Caenorhabditis elegans: one gene and its partners. The protein of the gene in region 1 purifies or fractionates together with the protein of each later gene. This does not show direct contact. Each region holds a gene or a part of one and is shown on either strand. Other genes may lie near its edges.

What was found.
Region 2: the proteins of ulp-1 (region 1) and Y54E10A.17 fractionate together in Caenorhabditis elegans (co-fractionation; one large-scale study listed by BioGRID). This does not show direct contact.
Region 3: the proteins of ulp-1 (region 1) and dnc-5 fractionate together in Caenorhabditis elegans (co-fractionation; one large-scale study listed by BioGRID). This does not show direct contact.

Annotation. Positions count from the first base shown.
Region 1 is NC_003281.10:5,164,540-5,171,908, reverse strand, and holds ulp-1 (Sentrin-specific protease), read left to right. Parts: upstream 1-2,109; 5' UTR 2,110-2,169; coding exon 2,170-2,209; intron 2,210-2,257; coding exon 2,258-2,359; intron 2,360-2,425; coding exon 2,426-2,562; intron 2,563-3,084; coding exon 3,085-3,387; intron 3,388-3,434; coding exon 3,435-3,716; intron 3,717-4,022; coding exon 4,023-4,175; intron 4,176-4,227; coding exon 4,228-4,325; intron 4,326-4,373; coding exon 4,374-5,105; intron 5,106-5,181; coding exon 5,182-5,260; intron 5,261-5,462; coding exon 5,463-5,630; 3' UTR 5,631-6,250; downstream 6,251-7,369. Other genes in the region: prp-19 (Pre-mRNA-processing factor 19), read left to right, coding at 1-19, 116-854, 918-1,300, 1,350-1,553; T10F2.2 (Mitochondrial ornithine transporter 1), read left to right, coding at 6,618-6,852, 7,222-7,369. UniProt on the Caenorhabditis elegans protein: Protease that deconjugates smo-1 from targeted proteins and may catalyze the processing of smo-1 to its mature form.
Region 2 is NC_003279.8:3,204,387-3,211,138, forward strand, and holds Y54E10A.17 (DOMON domain-containing protein), read left to right. Parts: upstream 1-2,375; 5' UTR 2,376-2,417; coding exon 2,418-2,522; intron 2,523-3,604; coding exon 3,605-3,691; intron 3,692-3,747; coding exon 3,748-3,880; intron 3,881-4,564; coding exon 4,565-4,629; intron 4,630-4,718; coding exon of another isoform or gene 4,719-4,826; exon of another isoform or gene 4,827-5,393; coding exon 5,394-5,462; intron 5,463-5,702; coding exon 5,703-5,840; 3' UTR 5,841-5,886; downstream 5,887-6,752. Other genes in the region: fog-1 (RRM domain-containing protein), read left to right, coding at 6,672-6,733.
Region 3 is NC_003279.8:2,879,842-2,885,673, forward strand, and holds dnc-5 (Dynactin subunit 5), read right to left. Parts: upstream 3,614-5,832; 5' UTR 3,600-3,613; coding exon 3,483-3,599; intron 2,521-3,482; coding exon 2,187-2,520; intron 1,184-2,186; coding exon 1,080-1,183; 3' UTR 1,035-1,079; downstream 1-1,034. Other genes in the region: Y71F9AL.8 (Myb_DNA-bind_3 domain-containing protein), read left to right, coding at 304-549, 928-1,014; arx-1 (Actin-related protein 3), read right to left, coding at 4,023-4,118.

The DNA of each region.
Region 1 (7,369 bases):
AGAGCTTTCTGAAGACCAGGTTTGTCAACCTTGCAATTATCTTCACTGACGTGAAACTTCGAAATGATAATTCATTGAAAAAACAAAATAATAATTTCTAAAATTCATTTTTTAGCTCGTTTCATTGAAAAGTGGCGGCACTGGATCAGCACCACGCAATGTCTCTGGAACATCCATCCCATCTCTACTAAAAATGCTTCAAGACGAGTGGGATACAGTAATGCTCAACAGCTTCTCTCTCCGACAACAACTCCAAATTGCTCGTCAAGAACTTTCTCACTCTCTGTACCAACACGATGCCGCTTGTCGTGTTATTTCCCGCCTCTCCAAAGAATTGACCGCTGCTAGAGAAGCATTGTCTACTTTGAAACCACACACATCGGCGAAAGTTGACGATGATGTCAGCATTGACGAGTCTGAAGATCAACAAGGTCTTAGTGAGGCAATTCTGGCAAAACTTGAAGAGAAATCAAAGAGTCTGACTGCTGAACGTAAACAACGAGGAAAAAATCTTCCTGAAGGACTTGCCAAAACAGAAGAGCTCGCCGAGCTGAAACAGACAGCATCTCACACTGGAATTCATTCGACTGGAACTCCTGGAATTACTGCATTGGATATCAAGGGAAATTTGTCACTTACCGGAGGAATTGATAAAACCGTTGTCTTGTATGACTATGAAAAGGAACAGGTTATGCAAACATTCAAGGGGCATAACAAGAAGATCAACGCAGTTGTTTTGCATCCGGATAATATTACTGCAATCTCTGCTTCTGCTGATTCACATATTAGAGTCTGGAGTGCAACTGATTCGTCTTCGAAGGCTATTATTGATGTCCATCAGGCACCCGTTACAGGTGAGATATTTGAAAAAAATTCGCTAGCTGTAATTCTTCTATTGAACAAACAATGTTTTACAGATATCTCCCTCAATGCATCCGGTGATTACATTCTCTCCGCTTCTGATGATTCTTACTGGGCATTCTCCGACATTCGTTCCGGAAAATCGCTTTGCAAGGTTTCAGTTGAACCAGGATCACAAATTGCCGTTCATTCCATCGAGTTCCATCCTGATGGTCTTATTTTTGGAACTGGAGCTGCGGATGCCGTTGTGAAGATTTGGGATTTGAAGAATCAAACCGTGGCTGCTGCATTCCCGGGACATACTGCTGCCGTTCGTTCGATTGCGTTTTCTGAAAACGGATATTATTTGGCTACGGGATCAGAGGATGGAGAGGTCAAATTATGGGATCTTAGAAAATTGAAGAATCTGAAAACTTTCGCTAACGAAGAGAAACAACCGGTAAGAAATTGTTAAGCAAATGTTTAATGAAAAAATATAATTTTTTCAGATCAACTCCCTGTCCTTCGACATGACTGGAACATTCCTAGGAATTGGTGGCCAAAAAGTTCAAGTTTTGCATGTGAAGAGCTGGAGTGAAGTTGTATCACTTTCTGATCATTCTGGACCAGTCACTGGAGTTAGATTCGGAGAAAATGCTCGTTCATTGGTGACGTGTTCATTGGATAAGAGTCTCCGAGTATTCTCTTTCTAATTGTTTTTATTACCATTTATTACTAAGTTATTCAAAATTTCACCACATTTTTCCCGTTTCGTTTCCTTGTTTTTTTTGTATTCCGGATTGTTCAGTCAAGTTGAAAATATTCCCATCTATAGAAAAGCTGACAAACTATTATTCTTTCTCCATCTCTCGTTACCATATATTATCGATTCCAAAAATTCTCCTTTTCACTGTGAATCAACAAAAAAAAAAGAGTTGATTGGCTGTCTTCCTGTGGTGAGATCTCTTTCTATTTTTATCTATTGGATTTTATTTTGTTCACATTTATCTTTTTAACAGTTCAACTTTTCTCCAGATTCCCCAAATTTTATTCATTTCATTCAAAAATGATCTGCAGCCAATCTCCTCCGCTTCTATCCCATTCATCTATTCTTTTATTAAAAGTAATTTATGCAATAATTGAATGATTACGTACTGCCTAGAGGTTAATTGCCTTCTTTATTTTGGCTGAAAAACTTAAAATGTTGCCCTTTGTGATAGTATTTACTATAGCAAAAATCTTTTAAAGCAGCTAAAAACTATATTTCAGGATAGCTACTTGAATCTGGAACATCAAAAATAGACGATATTCGATTGAAAGAGAAACGGAATGTCACGTAGGTCTGATTTATCAGACAAAGACTCTCAATGTAGGAGAAGTGAATGAAAAATAAGCTGAAATTAATTAAAATATTTAGCAAGAAAACGACATTGGTTAACCGATCAAGCTGTTACAAACGAAGAAAAAGAGCAGTCGCCAACAAAAAGAACCAGAAAAACGAAATCTCAAGGATTGGGTGGTGAGTGAATCCTTTTCCTTGATCCATAAAAGTATAAATTTGAAATAGCGATCTTCAACATTTCAGGGCTTTTCAATACCTTCTTCGGAATGTTCGTAAGCAGTAATTCGGGAGAAAAGGAGAAAACTGAAGTTTCGGGCGAAGTTCAAGTTCAAGAGGATGATGAAATTATAGTGGAAGGAACGACGAGGAGAGTTGCTGAGGTATATTTTGAGAATAAATTAACTTTCGGAGTTAAGTTCAGCAAATACCGTATATTCTCTATTAGTGCTGCATGCAGCACTAATTTCCAGGCCCTTTTTTAATGCAGCACTATTAGAGACTGCAGTACTACTGGAGACTGCAGCATTAATTTTCGAACGGCTATTTTCAATTATAGATCACTAGTTTTTAATCACAAAACCTCATATTTTAAGCAGAAATTCATAAAAATTGCGAACTTTTGTAAAAAAAAGACCCAATAATTCAATTACTTTCCTAAATTATCAAAAAATCATAAAATATACAAAAAAATACCCAAAAATATCGAAACTGTCAAGTGACTCTTTCAATAGAAAATGGGGTGCAGCACTAATAGAGACTGCAGCACTATTTTTCGGACCCTTTTTGAATGCAGCACTATTAGAGACTGCAGTACTACTGGAGATGCAGCACTAATAGAGAATATACGGTATATAAACCCCCCCCCCCCCCCCCCTAACTAAACATGACCACAGTTGTTACAGAACAAGAAATATATGATTTTTCTGAACGAAGATGCACCTGTGAGAGCCAATGCTGGATCAGAGGAAAATGAAGTTATCATTGAGAAACATGTTCAAAAAAACGTTGAAATTCGGAATGACGAAGAAAAACAAGAAGTTCAAGGAGATTTAGTGCTCACCTTATCATCTTCCCCAAAGTCGCCAAAAAATTTGGAAAAGTCATTTGAAGTACAACAGGATGATGAGGAACCAGACGTTCTTTTCGAGAAAGTAGTCAAGACACCAAATAAGCAATTGCAAGAAGCAAGACGATTTCAGAATGAGGTATTAGTATTCGAATAATTCTATTATAATAAATTATCAAACTTTAGTTGATCTTTCTCAACGACAATCCAGACACACCAGACGATGTATCAGTTATTTCTGACTCTAGGAGCAAAGAATTTATCTCACCGACACCCGATGACAGTGTTAGTCGTCCGATTACTCCGAGCTTATCATCATTATCAAATTACACATCAAATAATGTTCGTGATTATTGGAGACGGAATTCTGCTAAAAAGCCAGAGGTTTTGAGACGGGTCCCTGTTAGACATCAATTTAAGCACTCAACTTCTGTTCGGAAAATGAACACGATTATTGATTTAAAGAAGGTAATTATTTCTTTATGAAGCAGAGAAACTAATGTGAGAAATTACAATTTTCAGTGTATCAAACTGAAGCTTCAGAAATTAATTCTAAATGCCAAAAACTTCTTATTATTAAACTTTATAGGTTTTTTTAAAAACCATTTTGGAAGATTTTTCTTCCCAAATGGTCCGCAAAACCTACAAGATTCAATTTTTTAACATTAAAATTGATTTTGGAACGGATACATTAGACGATTTTGTTATTTAGAATTAATTTCGGTCCACTGTTTTTATAGATAATTATTTATTTTTAAGGTTTAATTATTTCAGATAAAAAATCACCTGTCATCTCGCGATCGACTTCTTCAAGGAGTTGTTGCAAGTGGACAATACGAAGCTAAAGCGATTTCTGGAATTGTTGAAAAAAAACCGAAGAAAATGCAGAGAACATCATCAACTGACATATTAGCCAGAGCGAAGAATGTATGTTCAGGATATTACTGTTATTTAAAACTTTCTGATCTTTTTTCTTCAGAAAATCGCAGAATTGGGAGGATCCCGAAGCAACACCCCTTCACTCTTATCAAGAGAACCATCCATCATCATTGATAGCGAAGAGTCCACTTCTTCAAGGTATTTATTTAAGTTTTTCATCAATTCAAGCAATAATATAAATTTAAGTTACCGCCAACACGCCCGATCAAATTCGTCGGAATCTGATTCATACAGGAAACTCAATGATATTCTCTCGCAAATTAATAGCCTTGGAATCGGTTCCGCATATCGAGGACCGCAGAGATATCAGAATTCTTATCAATTGTCGAAGCAGAAGGAGGATAAACTTCTAGAAGAGGCTCGGATACGAGAAGGACATCGCTCTCAAACAAGAGGTGATCGATTGGAAGATGTTCGGAAGAGACTTGAATTGCAAGGAATCGCTATTCGTCCGAAGGTGGAGAAGAAGAAAGTTGATGATTTTATGGCTTTACCTGATGCTGCTGATGCTCTTGTAGAAAGAGCATGGAGCGGAGGGAATCCAAATGAACAATTTGTGGATGCATTCAGCATTCAGATCTGTAAAAAAGATCTTGCAACATTGAGTGGATTGCATTGGCTGAATGATGAGATCATCAATTTCTATCTTCAATTGATTTGTGATCGGAGCAATGGCGATTCGAAATATCCAAAGATCTATGCATTCAACACATTCTTTTATTCCAATATTGTTTCAAAAGGATACGCGAGTGTGAAACGATGGACAAGAAAAGTCGATATCTTTGCATTCGACATCGTTTTGGTGCCAGTTCATCTTGGAATGCATTGGTGTATGGCTGTTATCGATATGGGCGAAAAGAAGATTGAGTTTTATGACTCTCTTTATGATGGAAATACAGCCGTTTTGCCAGCATTGCGGTTAGTTTTTTGAGTGTTTTTGGTTTTTATTTAAAAAACTCACAGAGAATATATCAATAAATATTTTATATTTCAGAGGTTACTTGGAAGCTGAATCATTGGATAAGAAAAAGACAGCAATGAACTTTTCTGGATGGACAATTCAACAGATGACGGTATATTGAATTTTAAAAAAATTAAATAAAAAAAAGGATTTTTACTTTAAATTTATTTCTGAAAAAAAGTTTTTTTTTAGAAGTCCAGATGTTTGGCTCAATCACTCTTTTTTTGATATCTATGCTCTCTAAAACAACCAGTAATACTTCTGAAATTACACACACAAAAAGATCTTCAACACGCGATAATCATCTTGTTTAGGACATTCCTCGTCAACAAAATGGCAGTGACTGTGGAGTATTCTCATGCCAATTCGGTGAATGGGCATCTCGACGAACGACGCCTCGCTTCACGCAGAAAAATATGCCATACTACAGAAAGCGAATGGTTTACGAGATTGTTTCGAAGAAGTTACTCGCAACTATTTGATTCTAGAAGATTAAAAGTGTCATAATTCATAGTTTTGTTTCCGGAAAAGTAGCTGTAAAATGTATTTTCTTCTCATTGGGCATAATTAAAACTTATATTTTGTCGGTGTCGTAAGCCCGAATCATCTAGAAAGTCTTTAATTTTCTGTATTTCGAATTAACCATATTTCCCATTTTCGTAGCATTTCTTCATTATCCAAAATATCGTTGTGATTCTCATCACTAATTATAACTTTTGATTTCATTTCATACCGTGTAAAGAATGTTCATACAAAAGATTAAAGATGATCGACGGTGTCAGATCACATCACATTATCACTTGTCACGTGGTCATTCTCAGATGACGTTGTTTTGTTTCAAAAGGTGATGCAAACTTTCCCATCCCGTTTTTAAGATTTTTTTGTCTCTGTGGATCTCTGGCCTTTTTTCTCTTTTCTCTTTTTCATTCTTCCTTTTATCCGAGTTTTATTTGATTTTTGACGTATTTATTAACAATTTTCTCTCCCTTCCACCTTTCAATTCCCAGTTCAATAATATCAATCAGCTTTCTCTGTTATATCAATATATTTCACTCCCGATCCCCGTCACCATTGCAAGTTGCAATAAATACAATTTCTTCACTTTTTTTTCGTTGAAATTTATTTTTTTTTCTTCTTGGTTTTATTTTCAACCTCATGGTTATATATTTTGAAGTTTATACAGATTCAATGTTTTATTTTCTAAACAGAGGAAATTTAAATCCTCCTTTATTGTGCTCATCGTGATCACAAAGTCACAAAAAATTTAACTTCCCAAAACCAAAAGAAATTGTCGTTTTGTTTTCCTCCTCACGACTCAAAAGTTAAATTTTTTGTTTTTTGGTCCGAAAAACCAACAAAACCAGCTATTTAGCAAACAAGAAAAAATGATCGTGATCTAAATTTTCTGGAAATTTTCAAAACCATTTCTTCCAATTTTTGTTATTTCAGAAAATAAAATAGATAGAAATATGCATGAAAGCGGTGAACCTACAACTGCAACGGGTGATGCTTCAGCCAATCATTTTAAAGATGGAATTATCGATTTATTGGCTGGAACAGCTGGTGGAATTGCCAACGTGTATGCTGGACAACCATTAGATACAGTTAAAGTAAAAGTACAAACATTCCCGAATCTCTATTCAAATTGGATTGTTTGTCTCAAGGATACTTATAAATTGGACGGAATTCGAGGACTTTACGCTGGTTTGTTATTTTTGTTTCGAAAATTTTGAGCTTAGTCTGGATTTCTGAATCTAAAAAAAGAAAAACAATCCTTTGTACTGAACACGTTCCATGCAACTATAAAAAAGAGTACTTCTTGAAGTAAAAATTCTCACCCTTTCTGGGAAGAACAATATAACGTGTTTTCAAAAAAAACCTTTTTTTGCAAAAGTTTCAGATTCTTTTTAAATAAAATACAATTTCTAAAAAGCTTCCAGAAAGCTCAGCAATTTTTTTGAACGTTTTATTTCAAATAACGTAGTTTTGATTTGGAAGTCGAGATGAAATCGAAAAAATCTTGAAAAATTAAATGTAACTTGATTTCTAAAATTCATATTTTTCAACATCCAGGAACTCTCCCAGCTCTAGCTGCAAATGTTGCTGAAAATGCAGTTCTCTTCACTGCCTATGGTTACTGCCAAAAAACAATTGCCACACTGAATGGACTCGAAGATGTCAGACAAATGACACCATTGGAAAATGCATTCTCCGGATCTCT
Region 2 (6,752 bases), on another chromosome or scaffold:
CAATTTGCTGATTTGCCACAAATTGACGATTCCGGGAATTTTCCGATTTGCCGGAATATTTAAATTTTGGTAATATGCCAATTTGCCGATTTGCCGTAAATTTTCAATTCCGGCATTTTGCCGATTTGCCTGAAATTTTAATTTCGGCAATTTTCCGATTTGCCTGAAATTTTATTTCCGTCATTTTGAAAATTTTTCGGAAATTTTCAAGTTTGGCAGTTTGCCGATTTGCCAGAAATGTTCTATTCCGGCAATTTGCCAGTTTCCGTTTTGCCGGAAATTTTCAATTCCTGCGATTCGCCGATTTGCCGGTAAAAAATCGTTTACCTCTGGTTTGATCTACGTAAATCTACAAAACATGCGGATGTTGAGACGCAGAATTCTCAACTGATTTTGTATGCTGACGCCACTTTTTTTCGGGCAAAAAATTCCCGCATTTTTGGAGATCACCCGTGATGGGACATCCTGACACCAATTTATAAATTGTACAAAAGTGAGTCATTAGTTGTTTCAATGCTCCATTGCTCTTCATTGAAACACCCCTAAAATCAACAATTTCTTTCTGTTTACCCCTGATGAACTAAATATGTCTCAACGATTTACTATAAATATCTCGATCCCAACTTTAAAATAATTTTTTTTTTCTTATCGGCAATTAGCCCGAAATAAAATATCCGGCAAATCGGCAAAAAATGACTAAAGGAACTTCGCCAAAGTCAGCGTCATCTTTTGATCAACCTATTTTTTTCCAATTCTTCCTTCTGCCAATGACCCTGAAACGTCACTTAATCATTTTTTTTCACCCACAATATGATAAGATCACTGCTACGGCGACCTGTTCATCCCCAAAACTGTTCTTTATTCTTTCTAAACGAATTTTGGTCGTGATCTCTGTAAGCCAGAGAAAAATGGAGAAGTAGGTCGTTTTCCTGGTTATTTTAAGCGGTTTATTTCTCAAAAAATTTCATTTAGTACACGTGGTGCCAGGCTGTCCCATAAAGGCTTGATCTACAAAAAATGCGGGAATTTTTTGCCCGGAAAAAAGTGACGTTAGCACATTCTTAACCATGCGAAATCAGTTGAGAACTCTGCGTCTCTTCTCCCACATATTTTGTAGATCTATGTAGATCAAACCGAAATGAGACACTCTGGCACCACGTGCGCGCGCAAATGAGGAAAGCGCTGACCAATCAGCGAATGACAAAATGTGCTGATTGGTCGGCGCAGCCTTGGTTTGCGCTCGAATTTAAAATAGAAAACCTAAATTTTTTCGATTTTCCAATATATTCCGAGAAAAAAAAAATTTTTTTCCTTTTCAAAATTCCTTTTTAGAATTAGAAAATTGTAAAATGTTCTGTTAATTTTTAAAACATTTTTTTCGAATTATTCCGATTTGCTGTTTTTTCGGCAAATTCGGCAAATCAGCAGTTTGTCAAAAATAAAAAAAATCAGTTCCAGCAATTTGCGGAATTGCCGATTTGCCGGAAATTTCGATTCTGGCAATTTGCCAATTTGCCGGAAATGCCGATTTGCCGGAAATTTGCCAGAAATGCCGATTTGCCAATTTGCCGGAAATGCCGATTTACCGGAAATTGTAATTCCGGCGATTTGCCGATTTGCCGGAATTTTCAATTCTGGCAATTTGCTGATTTGCCAGAAATTTGGGAAACGACAATTTACCGGAAATTTCAATTCCGGCAACTTGCCGAATTGCCGATTTGCCAAAAATTTCAATTCCGGCGATTTGCCAGAAATTTGTCAAATTCCCAATTTGCAGGAAATTCCGGAAACGACGATTTACCGGAAATTTCAATTCCGGCAATTTTCCGATTTGCTGTGAATTTGCCGAAAATGTTGATTCACCGATTGGCCGGAATTTTCGAATCCGGAAATTTGCCGCTTTTCCGGCAATTTTCCGATTTGCCGTTTTTCGGCAAATCGACAGTTTGCCAAAAATAAAAATAAAACAAATTTTAATTCCGGAAATTTGCCAATTTTTCTCCATCAATTTTTCCCGGTTTTTCGTTGTTAGTTTTTTTCGGGACTACTATAATAATCCCAAGTCAACTTTTTTCCTTCAGTTTCTTGATAAACGTCTTCATCTCTTCATCTATATTACAATTCACTCTCTCTTTCTCTCTTTCTCTCATATTCTAACACTATAATTCTCGAAACAAAAACTCGGGTCGTTTGGGGTCGAATCTGGTTTATCATTCGTCATTAATAGACGACTTATGTCTTCAATTGCTTCCTCATTTACAATATTTTCTTTCTTTTTCCTTTTTTCTCTCTCTCTTCAATCTTCTTCTATTTGTTTTCTTACTTTTCCTTCCATTATTTGCCAACAATCCCTGCCAACCAGTCCAAAACCCATCACCTCTCCTCATTTCTTAAACATATTTCCCCAATTTCAGAGAATGTTCGGCTTCTTGTTGGGTACACTTTGTGTTTCTCTAGCTATTCTTGGAGCACAATCAGCTAAATGCACAGCTAAAAGTGGAGATATTAGTGCTCGGTGGCAGGTGAGTCATTTTGTTTGAGCACAACTCAAGTGGTTTGTTTAAACTGATTCTTGGTGCCAATCGTTTTGAACAACTATTATGGGTACACAAAATTCTGAGAATGCGTACTGCGCAACATATTTCACGCGAAAAATATCAAAACTACAGTAATCCTTTAAGTGGCTACTGTAGCGCTTGTGTCGATTTACGGGCTCAATTTTTTAATTTATTGAAAAATGTAAATTATTGAAATGATGTAACTTTTCGAAAAAAAAAAATCATTTCGAAAATCGAGCCTGTAAATCGACCTACAGTAGTCATTTAAAGAATTACTGTAGTTTTGATATTTTGCGCGTCAAATATGTTGTGCAATACGCATTCTAAGAATTTTAGTGTTCCCTTAATATATTTATTGAAAAACTAGAAAAAAGAAAAAGGCATGAAACTTTAGGGAAACGTTAGAAAAACTGAAAATGTTTTTTTAAAAGAATTAATTAAAAATAAAATATACCTTAAAATGTGCTTTTTGAGAATAATATCGTTATTGTGATGTTTCAATGACATTGAAACAATTTTCATTTTATCTGAAAAAATTTTAAAAAATACTTTTTTTTGAAAAATTTCAAAACTTTTCAGTCAATTTTTTCGCCTAAAACAATGACCATCCTAACACTTTGGAGGTAATTTTTGATTTTTTCTGCAAAAAATCTGAAAGGCTACAAGAAACATTTTTTGAAATGTTGAAATTGTGAAATTTCAGAAAAAACTAAAACTTAGAAAAAAATTTCGACTGGAAATTTTAAGCCAAAAATTTTTTTTTCCTTAAAATGGCAGAAAATAACTGGTAGGTAGGCATGAAGTAGGCAGCTTTACCCTACCCCCCAAAAAATACGGTGGCCGAGTCTTTTTTTTTTCTCGGCCACACTCAAGGTCATTTTATCAGATTTTATCAGGCCAAAGTGAAAACTGCGCAAAAATATTAGGGTTTTTTTTTCTCTGAACAAATCTGGTTTCTGATATCAATACTAAATAGTTTGCAGGCCCTGTGTCTTGTGCAGTGATTCCTTGAAAAAAAAATTGCGCGTAAGATATAATGTTTTCAGGTTGTGGATGGAGAATTAACTGTCGAAGTTACCACAAAAAACGTTGGAAACAATGAATGGTCAGCAGTTGGATTTGGACCTGATATGGTATGTAATATTACTTTCCCCTACAAACTACAAAAACTACAAACTCCAATTTGCAGAGCGATCTAATCGTTGTCATTTTCCAAGTGGTAGACTTTAAGCCAAGCCTTGTGACTGGAACGACTCAGGGATACGGAGCACCTGCACTCGATGCTTCTCCATCTGTCACTCTTCAATCTCTCGATTATAACAGTGAGTTTAGTACGCCGTGGCCTAGAAAATCAAAAACTAGGCCAAGGTGTCTTTTTCTAGGCCATGCCTTGTCTTGTTCTGACCAAGATTATTACGGGGACACTTACTGTCGAGAATGCGTACTGTGCAACTTATTTGACGCGCAAAATATCTCGCAGCGAAAACTACAGTAATTGTTTATCTGACTACTGTAGCGCTTTTGTCGATTTACAGGATCTCGATTTTTTTTTGTCATTTTTATGCTTAATTTTAAAATTCTATCGATCGATCCATTCAAAAATCGAGTTCCCGTAAATCGACAAAAGCGCTACAGTAGTCGGATAAACAATTACTGTAGTTTTCGCTACGAGATATTTTGCGCGTCAAATATGTTACGCAATACGCATTTTCGAAATTTAGTGTTCCAGTAATACCTTTAATTTAAAACTGTCGGCGGCAATACATCAAATTTAACGCGCAATTTTTTTTTAATTTCATCCGCCAATTTAAATTTGCGCGTAGAATCTGATGTATTGAATCGTTATCGCCAAAATGTACAAACACCGGCTACAATGCATCAAATTTCACGCGCAAAACTTCAATATTTGAATTTGCGCGTAAATTCTGATGTATCAGGTCATAGCTGTCTCTTCACTCCAAAACACCATATTTCACGCGCAAATTTATTATCAAATTATGTTTCAGGCAACACCCTCGTGGCTCGATTTGCTCGCCCAGTTGGCTCCCTCTCCACATGCACAACATGGAATGTAAGTTGACAAAAAATATCACTTCCCCCCCCCCCCCCCCACTTCTACCGTAACCTGTCCACCTACCTCCTCATAACACCCTGTTACAGTTCGTCACCGAAGGATCCATCGAAGACGGATCAATTGGATATCACAATGCTGCTCCACACACTGTGGAAATTTGTGCCAACAAGTGTACCCGCAAGATCTTTAACTAACTTCTTTCTCTCTTTTGCTCACTCCATTTTTATAATAATTTGGGATTCTGTTTTTGCTTGGAAAAATAAAAATAAACCTATGGCTTTGCTATCCAGGAACTCTCGGGTATACCAGAAATGCAAGAGTGCTCTACTGACAAGTGTTCTGTGTAATCCACGTGGAGAAAAATAGAAAAAAAACCCACAAAAATGACGATTTTGATTTTTAAAAAATTTCGGAAACACGGGGTTCTGGCCTTCCTCATTGAATTTTTCGCCCTCCATTGACAATCCTGCCGGACAACGCGTGGGAAAGCCGTGTACTCCACACGGACAAATACATTTAGTTTTACAACTAAAACCGAGCCGCGACGCGACACGCAACGCGCCGTAAATCTACCCCAGATATGGCCGAGCCAAAATGGCCTAGTTCGGCAAACTCTTCCATTTCAATTTATGAGGGAAGCCAGAAATCCGTAACGGAAACTCTGAAAAATTCGATTTTCCCGCCAAAAAAACTTGCGTGTGAAATCCGATGTATTAACTCCGCCCCTCTCAATGCACCATACTTTACGCGCAAGTTTTCAGTTCTTCAACGCCCAGCCATTAAATGGACCATCTGTGTCGAACCTCGGCAGCCCGGAAATTCAATTGACGGTATTAAAATTTTCATTTCACACGTGGTGTCAGAGTGTCTCATTTCGGCTTGATCTACTTAGATCTACGAAAAATGCGGGAACAGAGACGCAGAGTTCTCAACTGATTTCGCATGGTTAAGAACGTGCTGACGTCACATATATTTGGGCGAAAAATTCCCGCATTTTTTGTAGATCAAACCGTGTTAGGGCAGCCTGGCACCACGTGATTTTAACATTATTTGACATGATTTTCTTACAGGACGTGTGCCCGAATGAGTGTACAGGAGTATTTACGGAACGCGACGTGGCATATGATCCAGTACCACAGGCTGCCATATATAATAATAGAATTTCGAATCGATTCAACGGAATTTTTGATCCATCGGCTGCTTTTTAAAAATAACTTTTTTTCTTCTTGATCTCGTCAATAAATGTTTTATTTTTATTAAATTCGATATTTTTTTCAGAAATTGGAGGTTAAAAAAACTTTTTTCTAAAATTTTTAAATAATTTATCGCTTTTTCTTATATAAAACTTAATTTAAATGGTCATTTTATTAATATATTCGCAAATTCAGATAAACTATTTTCAAATTTCGCGGTCTGTGCATTTTGACGTGATGGTGTTGACGTACAGGTTACTGTAGTCACTTTTCTTCGTGGGTGGTCTTGGACCACCGATATTTTAGGCCAATCATCGATTTTTTTCGCATTTTTTGAGAATAATTTGATTTTTTTTTCAAATTAAATTAGTTTTAAAATTGAAATTTCAATTTTAATATATAAAATTCTTAATTTTTCATCTGGAAAATGAGAAAATTAGTTATCTTCGTGTGTGGTCTTGGGCCACCGAAGTTTAGGCCAATCAGCGGATTTTTAAATTTTTCGTGTTATTTTTTACATTTGTGTAAATATTGATTAATTATTTATTAAAATAATTTTGAAATTAAAATTCCAACTCTAAAATATGAAATTGTTAATTTTTCGACAAGAAAATGATTTTTCTTCATGGGCGGTCTCATTTCCACCAATTTTCTTTCCTTCTTATATGAATTATAATTTGCGAAAAAGTTAAACTCTCTTTTTAAATTAAGTGTTATTAAATCAATTTCAATTGAAATTTTTATCTCTGCCGTATTGAATCTTCACAGAAAACGCGTTTTCTTCAGACCTCCCACGAAGAAAAGTCAATTTTTCGAAATTTTCCCATTTTTCAGAGCTTAAAACCAATGTTTCCCAGTGGTCACAATGAAAAATGGACTCGTGGTTACCAGCGGGAGAATTCTCTGTTGTAAGTTACAGCTTCTTTT
Region 3 (5,832 bases), on another chromosome or scaffold:
TTCGTGTCGAGACCGGCTACCGTATTTTTGGTGCGAAATTTCGCGTCTGGATAATAAGAGAAACACTAATTTTCTTTGATTTTGTGAAAATTAGAAAAGAAAAACATTTTTTTCCGGTTTTTGGCTTTAAGCAAACACTTAAAACGGAACTTCTCGTTTTTTTTTTGGAAAAAAAAATTAAAAATCGGAGAGGAACTTCAAACCAATCAGCGCCTGGCTCCGCCCACCTTCGCTGATTGGTTTGGAATTTTTGGCCCTAAAAATGACACAATTTCGTATAAAATACAGTTTCTTTTTTTTCAGAAAATGTTCGCTGAACTCGAGAACCAACAAAATCTAGACCACCTGTACGGAAAAATGTTCGACGATCCAAATAAAGCCGATTGGATAATGATTGATGTCAAAAAGTTCACTGAAAACCACCTTCGCATGCAATATTTCCGTAAAATACGCGAAGAGCTACACAAAAGATTCACCAATCAGCATATCATTCGTGCCGTTTTTTGCTTTTTCCAATTTTTTGAGTATTATGTGACAGTTTGTGTTGATGTGAGTTTATTCCGAGAAATTGAAAACTTCTCGATTTACCTGAATTTTTTACTTGAATCGCCGCGCTTTTGTCTCTAAACTCCGCCCATAAAACCGTGCCGCACTGTTTTTTTTTCTAATTTTCAATTAAGAATACGGTCAGCAATGTTAAACAATTATTGAAAATTAGAAAAAAAAAACAGGAATCTGTGTCGAAATTGAAAAAACCAGAGTGCGGCACGGTTTTTATAGGCGGAACTTAGAGACAAAAGCGCGAGAATTCAAATTAGGCGTAAAAAATCCGAATTTTTTCGTTTTTTTTTCTTTTTTGGCATTTGGGACTAGTTTTTGAGTATTTTAAATTAAAATCCTTTCAAAAAATTAAAATTAAATTTCCAGGAGTCCACCGACAACTACATTCTGCTAATGAACAAAGTTTTGGAAATGTCCATCAAATTGTTGCCACTTTATATTGTTCATTGTTGATCATGCTCGCCCCTCCAATGTTAAGAATTATTTATTGAAATCATCCCGTTTTATTTACAATAAAATTATGCGATAGCTCGTTGTTTCGGTACGAAATTATCATAGTACATCGTTATGGCCTCCATCATCAGGTTCTCGGTGCAACGGGGTTCAGTGCCGACCACTTGAGCTGAAAAAGAGTTGATTTTGTTTTGGAAAAATTCCGGCAATTTTTGGAAAATTGCCGAATTCGCCGGAAATTTCATTTTCTTTTCGCGGCTCAAAAATTTCTTGGAGAATGGAAGAACTGCCGGTGTAGTCCTCGAGGAGGTTTTTTTTTTCAAAATTTTAAAAATCAGTTTTCAGCAAAAATGATCGATTTTGGAAAAAAAATTTTTTTTTTGAAAATCGAGAAATTTAAAGAACATTTATTTCCAAAAAAAATTAAGAAACTACCGGAGATTATTGAAAATTTTAATTTTTTCTAAAAATTAAAAAAAAAACTTTAAATTTTCGATTAGTACGATTTTTCGGAAATTTTTTTCAAATTTTTGAGAAATTCTTTCTGATAAATCTGCATTTTTTTCTGAAAGTTTTATTTTCTAGAAAATCCAAAAAAAAATTTCAGATTTTTTGGTAAAAAATTCAAATTTTCGATAATATCCGGCCATTTTTTTTCAAAGAAATGTGTTTTTTTAAAATAAAAATTGAATCTTCATTAAATTTTTTCTAATTTTCCTTTTTTAAACTGAAAAGCCTAAAATGGTCCAAAAATGAAAAAAATCGAGTCAAAAACTGAAAATTTACTGTAGAATAAAATTAAAACTTCTCCTCGGGGAGTACACAGCGATTCTACCATTTTTTGAAAATTAGGGAGCTCAGAAAAATAAGAAAAATAAGAAAAATCGATAATTTTCGATTTTTCGCCAAAATTCCAATTTTTCAATAATTTCAGTTTTTTTAAAAATGTTTTTTGAAAGAAATTTCTCAATTTTTCCAGTTTTTTCGATTTTTCCTACTTAAAAAGTTCGAAAAATTAGGAATTTTCGATTTTCCGTCAAAATTCCAATTTTTCAATCATCACAGGCAATTTTTGTGCTTTTAAAAACGTTTTTTTTCCAGTTTTTCGATTTTCCGGCTCTCAAAAAAATTAGGAAAATTTCAAATTTTCGCTTTTTCGACGGCATACTGACCAGGATTCCCGCCGATCGTTGAGTACGGTGGAAAAAGTGCGTCCGCTGGAACTACAGTATCCGGAAGAACCCTCGAACATTCTCGAATCACACAACCATTTCCGAGCACCGCACGAGCTCCAAGATGTACAAATGCGTAGATTTGAGCGGCATTGACGACACATTCTTCTTCAATAAATACATAATCACCAATCATAACGTTGCACATTGTTGGTTTTTTGCTGAATATTTTCATGCATGGACGGATGTTACATCGAGACTTTAGAACACAATATTTTCCAATTTTAACTGTCGCCAGATCACCGCGAATTGTCACTCCTTCCTCGATTATTGTCTGCAAAATTTCACTTTTTTTGATGTTTCAAATCAGGGGTGGGCGGCTATTTATTTTTGGCAGATTGCCGGTGTACCAAAATTGCCGGTTTGCCGAATTTGCCGGAAATTTTAGATTTTGGCAACTTGACAGTTTACCGAATTTGCCAAAAATTAGAATTTTTGGGAAATTGCCGGTTTGCCGGAAATTTTAAATTTTTACAAATTGCCGGTTTGTCGTTTGCCGAAAATTTCAATTTTTGACAAATTGCTTATTTGCCGGAAAATTTCAATTTTTCGAAAATTGCCGGTTTGCCGAATACTTTCATTTTTGGAAAATTGCCGATTTGCCGAAAATTGTAATTTTTGTCAAATTGCCTATTTGCCGGAATTTTTAAATTCCGGCAAATTGCCGGTTTGTCAAGTTTGCCGGAAATTTTCATTTTCGGAAAATTGCCGGTCTGTCGGAAATTTTAATTTTTGGAAAATTGCCGGAAATTTTTTTTTCTCGCAAATTTACGGAAATTTTAATTTTTGGCAAATTGCCAGTGTGCCGGAAGTTTGAATATTTGGCATATTTGCCGGTTTGCCGAATATTCCTAAAATGCTCAATTCCGGCCCACTTGCCGATTTGCCGGAAATTTTCATTTTCGGAAAATTACTGATTTGCCGGAATTTTCATCTTCAGCCGGTTTACCGAATTTTCAAGAAATTTTAATTTTCGCCAAACTGTTGGTAATTTTAAGTTTTGGTAAATTGCCAATTTGCCGATTTGCCGAAAATTTAAATTTTTTCCAAATTGCCGGTTTGGCAAATATGCCAGAAATTTTAAATTCCGGCAAATTGCCGAATTTGCCAAAAAATTTGTATAGCTTATTCCAAAAATCTAGAAAAATTATATTGCGCTATTTTTTTAATTTCTTTTTTTTTTCAAAATACTTGGAAAACACTGAATTTTTTCTAAAAATTTCCAAAAATTCTCACTTTTCCAGCAATTAAAATATTCTGTGTTCCAGCAATTGCATGCTTCTTATTCACTTTATTTCCCGTATGCGTCTTCGCCCATTCCGTCTCATCGTAGTAGACAATTGGAAGATCCATCTGAAAATCAGCGTCTGAAATTTTTCTAGTTTTTTTTTAAATTCAAAAATATCACAAAAGAGTTCTACTTTTTCAAATCGAGCGGAATTTTTCTCCAAAAAGACTACAAAAATAAGGGAATTTATATATAACGGGGGAATAAATTAAAGCAATAGTCATGCAAAAAAACACAATTTAAGAAAAAAAATTGGGGGCGCAGGAATCAAATTTCTTCGAGAATTTTTTCGTTCAAAAGGTTTTAAAAAATTGGTAATTTTTGGAAATAAAAATAATAAGTACATACACGAATCGCCCAGAATAAGATGAAAAAAAGTGAAATGTGTGTTCAAAAATTTCGGGAATTAGAGAGAAAAAAACGTGGAGAAGGGATTAAAATTGGAGAAAATATATAGGGAAAAAATACAAAAAAATGGAGAAAAAAAATTAAGTAAGAGCTCCGAAAACTGGATTGTAACGACAAATCGATGGTCCTCTCTCCATGTATTCGGCCTTTGTGTGTGAAACTTGGTAGAATTCCGACTGAAAATTTGGAATTGATAGTTTTTTTGGTGATTTTTTCACTAAATTTTGGGGGAATTTAATTGATTCTAAATTAAAATTTAAAAAAGTTTCCAAAAAAAATTTCATTTTTCAATTTTTTCCGACTGAAATCTTGGCTATTTTTGTGTTTCAAAAAGTTTCGAAAAATTGCCAAAAAAAAATTAAAAATATAATTTCCGAATAAAATTTTTTTTCAATTTTTTCTCAAAAACTTAAAATTGACTTTTTTGGGAATTTCAAAAAAAAAAATCAAATATTAGATTTTTTTTTGGAAAAAATCGGAAACATTTGTTTTTTTTCGAATTCTACCGATTTTTTTAAAATTTAATTTAAATTCGAAATCTACAGTTTTTTTTCACTAAATTTCGGGAGAATTTAATTTATTCTGAATAAAAATTTTTTAAAAAGTTTCCAAAAAAAAAAACAATTTTCAATTTTTTGAGTTTCAAAAAGTTTTGCAAATTTGAAGAAAAACAAATTAAAAATATAATTTCCGGATAAAACTTAAAATTGACTTTTTTTTGGGAATTTCAAAGAAAAAAAAATCAAAAATTAGATTTTTTTTTTGGAAAAATTAGTTGGCTAGTAAAAATCGATTTTTTTTTGAATTTTCAAAACTTGTTCAGAAATAGTGCTTTATTTATTTCAAAAACCATAGTTTTTCAGTGAAATTTTTTTATTTCTTAAATTCGAAATCTAATTTTTTTTTTTTTGATTTTTTTCACTTTCAAATTTCGGGGGAATTTATGACTTTATTCTGAATAAAAATTCAAAAATTTCCAAAAAAAAAATAAAATTTTCAATTTTTTTCCGACTGAAAATTTGGATATTTTTGAGTTTTAAAAAGTTTTGAAAAATTGCCAAAAAATTAAAAATATAAATTTTTAAAAATTTGTTGAGGTAACTGGAATACAAATTTCAGAAATTTCATTCGAAGCTCTGAATAAAACTTTTTTTTTTAATTTTTCGAATAAAAATCCGAATTTTTGAAATTTTTCTCAAAAAAAATCAATTATTTTTGGGAATTTTACAGAAAAAATCGAAAATTAAATTTTTTTTGTTGGAAAAATTAGTTGGTTAGTAAAAAATAATAAAATCGATTTTTTTAAAAAATTTACGAAATTCAAAAAATATAGTTTTTTTTAGTGAAAAAGTTTAATTTTCATTCAAATTTTCGAATAAATTATTTTCAACGAAAGAATTGATATTTTTTGCAAAAAAAGTACCAAAATTTCGGTCAAAAATGCATTTTCTCGGAAAAAATAGCAATTTTTTGAGATTTTCAAAATTTATGCTCATTTTTTTTAAAAATTTATGCTCAATTTATTAATTTTTAATCAACTTTTCAAAGTTTACCGGAAAAAATGGTTTTTTTCATTAAAAACTGTTTTAAAGCATATTATTCCCATTTGATAAGGCTGTTTTTTGTGAAAAAAAAAGTTTTTTATTCAGAAAAATCGATTTTTACTCAACTTTTCCAGTATTTCTTCAATATTCTTTTTTTAGATATATTTTTTACAAATATTTCCAACTGACAAAAACTCACAGTGGATGCACTTTTCAAGGTTTTCCGGAAAAATGTGGTTTAAAAATTTTTTTTTTTCATTAAAAAAACGTTTTAAAACATATTATTCCGTTTTGAAAAAGCTTTTTTTGTGAAAAAAAAAAGTTTTTTATTCAGAAAAATCGATTT